2 linked regions of the Danio rerio genome follow. The protein of the gene in region 2 interacts with the protein of the main gene of each other region in a biochemical or structural test. Links are inferred from orthologs where the notes say so. Each region holds a gene or a part of one and is shown on either strand. Other genes may lie near its edges.

Evidence for each region.
Region 1: the proteins of runx1 (region 2) and elf2b form a complex in vitro, tested with the Homo sapiens proteins (2 studies listed by BioGRID and IntAct). The link is inferred for Danio rerio from reciprocal best matches to the Homo sapiens genes RUNX1 and ELF2.

The regions. Positions count from the first base shown.
Region 1 is NC_133176.1:15,381,777-15,386,056, forward strand, and holds the start of elf2b (ETS-related transcription factor Elf-2b), read right to left. Parts: upstream 2,819-4,280; 5' UTR 2,474-2,818; intron 1-2,473. UniProt on the Homo sapiens protein: Isoform 1 transcriptionally activates the LYN and BLK promoters and acts synergistically with RUNX1 to transactivate the BLK promoter. Isoform 2 may function in repression of RUNX1-mediated transactivation.
Region 2 is NC_133176.1:2,052,226-2,055,910, reverse strand, and holds part of runx1 (runt-related transcription factor 1), read left to right. Parts: intron 1-3,222; coding exon 3,223-3,348; intron 3,349-3,685.

The sequences.
Region 1 (4,280 bases), about 13 Mb from region 2:
GGATTTATTAGCCTAAATAACCATAACATAAATAGCCGGGTCCGTCACATTTTAGGGTCTCCAAGAAACATTTGCAGAGCGTTTTTATAAAATGTTTGCTTTGTGAGAAAATGCAGTGCATTTTATTAATTGCATTGTGATGATTTGCAACATGTATGCTTTCAAACAGATAAAGATCTTTTATGTAATCGCTGGCATTTTTTGTAATTTGCACGTGTTTTCTTAAATTGCAGCACGTTAAGCTTTCTCGGCCACTGTAGTAATACAAAAGTTTTTACATTTGTTAAGAAGAATAGTCAACATTATCTACCACTGGCAAAAATTTCTAAAGTATTTATTAATTTTATTTTGCATTACATTTATATTTAGTCATTCAGCAGAACCTTTGTCCAAAGTGACTTACAATTGAGGAGGCATTCAGTGATTCATGAAGAAAAGGCAACACCCAAGAAGTGCTAATTATACAAGGAAACTGTTAGTGCTAGGGTAAAACCCTGCTCACACTGTGAGATTTCAGCCATGATTTTGTCATCTGAGACTAATTTGGGAAATCCTAAATGATTTCTGAAATCCTAGGCGAAAATCGATAATCTTTGATTGTTGGTTTGACATGTTCACTGACAGCCGCTTGGTGCCCGTTGCGATCAGATTTCACTTTTCTGCAGTGTGACAACAGCTGCAATGAGCGTCAATCCAAGAACCAATGGCAGTTTCGAATTTGATGATGCAATCCATGCGACAATTCAATTGACAGCAGGAAAACGTCAAAACTTTTTTATTTTTTTCTGGTTTTATTATGGAGACAAGCTGTGCACAAAATTGCCGTTACAGATAGTTTACGTTTGCTGCGAAGAATAATTTCACAGCGTTGGATAGTGAAAGTATCCCGGGCCGATGACGTCAAACTCCGGGAGCATTCTCTTTTATGTTTGTCGCATCCTCATTGTAGTTCAGTCTGACTTTATGACAGCTGAGATCTGTGACATGGGAGACTTGTTCGTGCAGTCTGATCCTATTCTTCAATGCGGAAGTGCGCTCGTTTTTGCGATTGTTTTAGAGCTTCCGATTCAGCTGCCAATGGGAGAAATTACTAAGAATAATAAACGACAGGAAACTGTCAAACTACTCTCTCTACAAACAAGTGTTTGCATGGCTATAGAGACAAAATAGAATAATATAAGCAAATATCAGTTGGCAACATCAGGCAGCAAAACAAGCTGTTTTTAATGTCTAAAAATCGATGGAAGTGAATGAGATCGGAAGTCTCGAGCCAAAAAGATTGTGCCTGCTCAAACGTCGAGAATAAAGTGAATAGAGTGAAGAATGTTTCTACAGGTGGTTTGCCACTCACCTGTGTGAAGCACACTTCATGAATGCATGGTGTTTTGCTAGAGATATGTCTGGTGCAAATTTGCAAAACTGGTGCAAGTGTTGGTTAAAGTGGTAGAGATTAAACAGTGTGTTTTCTACAGGTGATTTGTCAAGCCCACTCAGTGAGGTGCACTCATATTTGAAATAGGTCAATTTCAGTATTTTCTGACACATTATTGAGGTCAAAAATTATCTCTCATGGTTATTAAATGGACATATGCTAACAATAAACCAGTTCTTTTTAATACCATTACAACCCCAATTGTACAATATGTAAAGATCAGTAGCCTAGATAGTCAATCACCCCTTGCCAAAGGAATTGATCAAATTGTAGAAGAAAAGCTTGTGGCATGATTTCAACACTAGAGTAATGCCTTGCTTATAAGATCGTTATCAGACTTGTCTGCATTTCACAGTAACAATTACATGTCAGCAAATACAATCCTGACATTTACCATAAGCGTGCATGTAACATCACTGTTTACACCAGTGACTACAACAAAGTCCTGATCCTGCACTACTCTCTCCAAATAAGTGGGCGTCACAATATAAACCCTAAAGGAAATAACACAAACCGATGTTATCTCAATCCCTTAAAAGGAAAACCTACACTTAAAGTATAGATGTACTCTATTAAGGAATAAAGACAGCTTTTTTTGAGCATAAACCTTGTGAACATCGAACATCTCTGACACAACTGCCGTGGATACATTACAAAGCTAAAATATAAATCTCACATAAGCTAATTTAATTTTAAAACCCCTTACTTAAACAAAAAGTCACATTTTAACAAGAAAACAGATGTATGAACAGCGTAACGTTACATGGTTATAGTTGTCAACTCTGCTAGCATTTAGCTTAGCCAGTCTGCAAAATGACGACACATGCGAGCTGAAACACAACAAATGCAGCCACTTCTAAACATATAAAAGAAAAAAATACTTGTCTACATTTAAGGCATGCTCTTTATATTGCAAAGAGAAACTAAAGAGCACCGCAAAGTGCCTCATTAGCTTCGTTACACAGAGCTAAGCTAATACAACCGCAGAGTCCCTGCTAATGCTTCTTCGGGGTATGGGTGGCATAAAAGTAGATTTCTTACCTTAAAAAGCTGATTTTCCGAATAAAACCCACGCTCTGAGTAGGTCTGGTTTACACAGATATAAGAAACATGGAGTTTGGCCGCGGTGGTGTGTGAGAGCCCGTCAGACTGTTGTCGTTAGCGGCTAAACGCTAACACACCTGATCATCACATACACATATATACGGGTCTCTCCAAACAGACACACTGAACTAGTTCACTGACTACTGATGATGATGATGATGATGATGGGCCTCCAGCACTACCCACTAGTGCAAGTCAAACCAGACTCTATGATGATCAGGCACAGAGGACACGATGTTGTGTTTGCAGACTGTATCCAGCTCAGAATCATAGCAGTAAGACACCGACCGAGAGAAAGAGAAAGAAGATAAAGAGAAAGAGAAAGAGAGAGAGAGAGAGAGAGAGCCCACACCCTCAGAAGTTAATTACTGCCTCGATGTTTAATGAAATAATAAATAATCAAAGACAGTGTGTATTTGGTGTTGTTTTCATAATTAATGATATGTCCATTTAAATCTTTTAGCTATATTTTGGTCTTTATCATTCCTATTTTGTTCTCAAAATATTGCAGTATATGTAGTGTTGTAAGCACAGTCATGTCATAAAAAGTTTTACACTTAAACCCGCAAGTTTTTAGGTCCTTAACAAAACAAAATACAAAAACAAAAGCCTCTAATGATAGCTAATATTAATTTTATATGTTTACCACTGGAATAATGAAAGCAAGTGTGTGGCAAGGCACGTGCTGTTATAAATCACACAACTGAAACAAATTTCAATATTTATAACCATTCTTCATTTTTCGTCAGAAACATATAAAATGTTTTAGCAGAAAATACTAACAGTAACATTTATACAATAATGTAATATGTTGAGCTCATGGATGTACTATACTATGAGTGATTAATTAAAACATATAAATATGTAGATGTGTACATTTGTTTAAACTTACAGCATAAATATTAGCCATATAGGCTACACATCAGTTTCTTTATTCAAATACATATTTGTAATTGTGTGCTGAGGGTGCTTCAGCATCCCCTGCCGGAAGCTGTGAAATTTAACATGACATGACTAGCATTATAATTTTTTATCATTATAATTTTTACTATCATTATTATTATTATTATTATTATTATTATTATTATTCATTTTATTATTATTCATTTTGTTATTATTATTCATTTTATTATAATAATTATTATTATTATAATTATTATAATTAATATTATTCATTTTATTATTATTCATTTTGTTATTATTATTCATTTTATTATTATTATTATTATTATTATTATTATTATTATATTATTTTTTATTATTATTAAAATTTGTACAATTACTAATAAATTGTTCAAGATATTTTTTTCAGTTTTTACATTTTATAAAATGTGGTTTGTGCCAGAAAATAAAAAAATAAATAAAAATGAATCTTATGTGAGGGACATAACTATGTTTAAATTAGAATAGTTGAATATAAAAACCCTGCCCCCAAACATATGTATATCAATTTATAATAGAATACACACAATTTATAGATTACCTTAAAACCGGACTTTTATTGAAATTTGTCTGCAGTTTAGTTTGCATCAATAGTTTTCAGAATATTTGGAAAAGTACAGATTTCCAGCAAATATGTCGTAGCTACAGATCTGGTAAAGACTTGGTGAAAGGGGTGGTTCTTTTTTTCTTCAAAAGTGGACTTTTTTTTTTTTGCAGTTATTCGCCTCATTTCTATTTAACTGTGGCTAAAGTACTCTATTTAAAGATATTTTAAGCACTATTTTTAGCTGGATTAGTTTGA
Region 2 (3,685 bases):
CGTTTTATGTTTAGGATTGTTTGATGAATAGAAAGCAGCTAACAGAAATAGCATTGCACATATCTTTAATGCCATATTTAAAAAGGCATCCTTTAAAAGAAACAGCCTTCTGATCAGCGGTGTGGACAGTGAGCGTGGTGTTCTGGGAAGCGCTCCGACTGCTGCAGCTCTATGTTTGGCACTTCTGCTTTTCATGCGCTGTTGAAAACATTTCCCAATCCGAAGCACACACCGCCTCCTGCTCTACACACTGACATCCTCTTAGTTTCTCTTCCTCTTGGCGCGTGCAGATGGGAGAAAGGTGTGTGTGAGAGACGGAACGACACCAGCACCTTGCATGCGTGTGTGACGAGGAGGAAGCAGAACGCAGAAAAGAGGAAGTGAGACGCGTTTGACAGGAAACAGGCTTGTGTGAAAATCCCTCATTCAAAGCGCAACCGAAGCCAGAGCTGCTTGATTTTATCCATCAGTTATTAATCATTATTAATCACATTAAGTTTTGTGCGTTATTATAAGCCGGTCTGTGACTAATAAATAAAAGTATATTAGAATTTTGCCAGTTGATCAATTATTACGTATATATTATATATCTATGTTTATATACAATTGTTTTATTATTAATAGTTTATAGAAATTCTGATTAATAATTACATAATTAGTTACATTTGATGATAGAAGATGGAATAAAGAGAATAAAAAGTGTATGTGTGCATGTGTCTGTGTGTGTATGTGCATGCAAGTTTGAGTATGTGTGTGGGTGTGTGTATACAAGTGTGTGTATGTGTGTGTGTGTGTGTCAGTGATCTGCATGATGGAGTGGTGAGAGTGTGAATGGCTGAAGTGCAGCAGAACAGAACGTTTCTCTCTGATCCTCCAGACAGAAATAGCAGCAGGATCTCGGCCAGCGGAAACCGTTATTAAGTCATTGAAGAGCTGCTGCTGCTGCTGCTGATTCTTTTCCTCCGCTGCGTCTCTGTAAATCAGCAGCAGCTGTGTGTTTGACTGAACGTGTGGAGACCAGTTTACCTTTACATTCCACATGACACAATACTACACTAATCTACAGTAAATACTCTAGTGTTTTCAGCCATACTTAAATGGCTCTATTGTGGAGATTCTACAGTTGCTATGGTAACACAAAAACTATAGTAATTAATCTGTTGTTGTGATTCTACAGTTGCTATGGTAACACAAAAAGCTATAGTAACTAATCTGCTGAGGTGATTCTACAGTTGCTATGGTAACACAAAAGCTATAGTAACTAATCTGTTGTGGTGATTCTACAGTTGCTATGGTAACACAAACTTTAATAAATTATCTGTTGTGGTGACTACAGTTGCTATGGTAACACAAAAAGGCTATAGTAACTAATGTGCTGAGGTGATTCTACAGTTGCTATGGTAACACAAAAGCTATAGTAACTAATCTGTTGTGGTGATTCTACAGTTGCTATGGTAACAAAAACTTTAATAAATTATCTGTTGTGGTGACTCTACAGTTGCTATGGTAACACAAAAACTTTAATAAATTATCTGTTGTGGTGATTCTACAGTTGCTATGGTAACACAAAAACTTTAGTAAATAACCTGTTGTGGTGATTCTACAGTTGCTATGGTAACAAACACTTTAGTAAATAATCTGTTGTGGTAATTCTACAGTTGCTATGGTAACACAAACACTTTAGTAAATAATCTGTTGTAGTGATTCTTCAGTTGCTATGGTAACACAAAAACTTGAATAATTAATCTGTTGTGGTGATTCTACAGTTGCTATGGTAACACAAACACTTTAGTAAGTAATCTGTTGTGGTAATTCTACAGTTGCTATGGTAACACAAACACTTTAGTAAATAATCTGTTGTGGTGATTCTACAGTTGCTATGGTAACACAAAAACTTTAATAATTAATCTGTTGTAGTGATTCTACAGTTGCTATGGTAACACAAACACTTTAGTAAATAATCTGTTGTGGTGATTCTACAGTTGCTATGGTAACACAAACACTTTAGTAAATAATCTGTTGTAGTAATTCTACAGTTGCTATAGTAACACAAACACTTTAGTAAATAATCTGTTGTGGTAATTCTACAGTTGCTATGGTAACACAAAAACTTTAATAATTAATCTGTTGTATTGATTCTACAGTTGCTATGGTAATGCAAGAACTAAGGTAATATAAACAAATCATCAATTATAGGGTGTGTTGTACTACAATACACCACAGTTTAATGTAGTAAAGACTAAAGTATACTACAGTATGCATTGTTGTTTATTTATGTGTTTATCAAAAAACACATCAATACACATATAAACACATGTATACACACACACACACACACACACGCATGTACGCGCACACACACACAGACAGAGAGTACGTGGACACACACATATATGCATACACACATACTGTACTTATATGCACACATATATGCTCATACCTACACATGTACACACACTCATATACACATACATATATACATATATATACATACATACATAAAACACACATACACACAGAGACAGAAACACACACAGACTCATTATTCTTTCTCTATTTTCTTCACAGCTTCACGATGTATTCACATTTATTTTTATTATTAGTATTTGGTCTTAAATTGAAAGTCTTGATTTCTGTACGGCATTCACAGTATGATCAACCTTTACCAGGCTTTTCTGTTACCAAGTGCTTTTAGTATTAGTCGGCAACATGTGTGTGTATTTATGTGTGTGTGTGTGTGTGTGTGTGTGTGTGTGTGTGTGTGTGTTTGTGTGTGTGTGTGTGTGTGTGTGTGTGTGTGTGTGTGTGTGTGTGTGTGTGTGTGTGTGTGAGCGGATGTTGAATGTGCCTCCAGCCTCCTCCAGTCATGTGTGTCTCCTGCTGCTGTGTGTTTGGTTCTGCCTGTTCTGGCTCTGGCAGCGCTTCATTCTCTGGCTCAACTTAAAACAGGCCACTTTCTCTCTTTCTCTGTCTCTCTCTCTCTCCCCTTTAGTCTGGAAGTCTGCAAGCCATCGGCAGCGTTCATTACACACTGTATTATTATTATTATGGAGCCTTTCCACTTTAGCTTGTTTCTCATCTTTGCTCATAGTTGGTGAACGCAGTGAATGCGAGAGCACAACAAATCTTTTCTTTACAATCCTATTTGCTGAAATAATGAAAGAGAAAGTCCAGGTTGGTGTTATCAAGAGCTTTTCTGAAGTCTTAGATGTGTGTTTTCAGACTCCCGGCAGATGCAGACGTCTCCATCCTGGTCGTATGAGCAGTCGTACCCATATCTGGGCCCGATCTCCACCCCAGCGGTCCACCCTACAACACCAATCTCACCCAACCGGACGGCTTTACACTGTGAGTTTACACATTCACACTTACTGCTTTATTCCTGTTTTTCAATATAGTTTCAGAGGTGACGTGGTGGCTCATGGGTCAGCACTGTGGCCTCACAGCACGAAGGTCGCTGGTTCAAGTCCCAGCTGGGCCAGTTGGCATTTCTGTCAATTGGATAAACTAAATTGGCCATAGTGAATGAGTGTGTGTGAATGAGTGTGTATGGGTATTTCCCAGTACTGGGTTACAGCTGGAAGGACATCCGCTGTGTAAAACATATGTTGGAATAGTTGGTGGTTCATTCCGCTGTGGCAACCCCTGATGATTAAAGGGACTAAACTGAAGGAAAATGAATGAC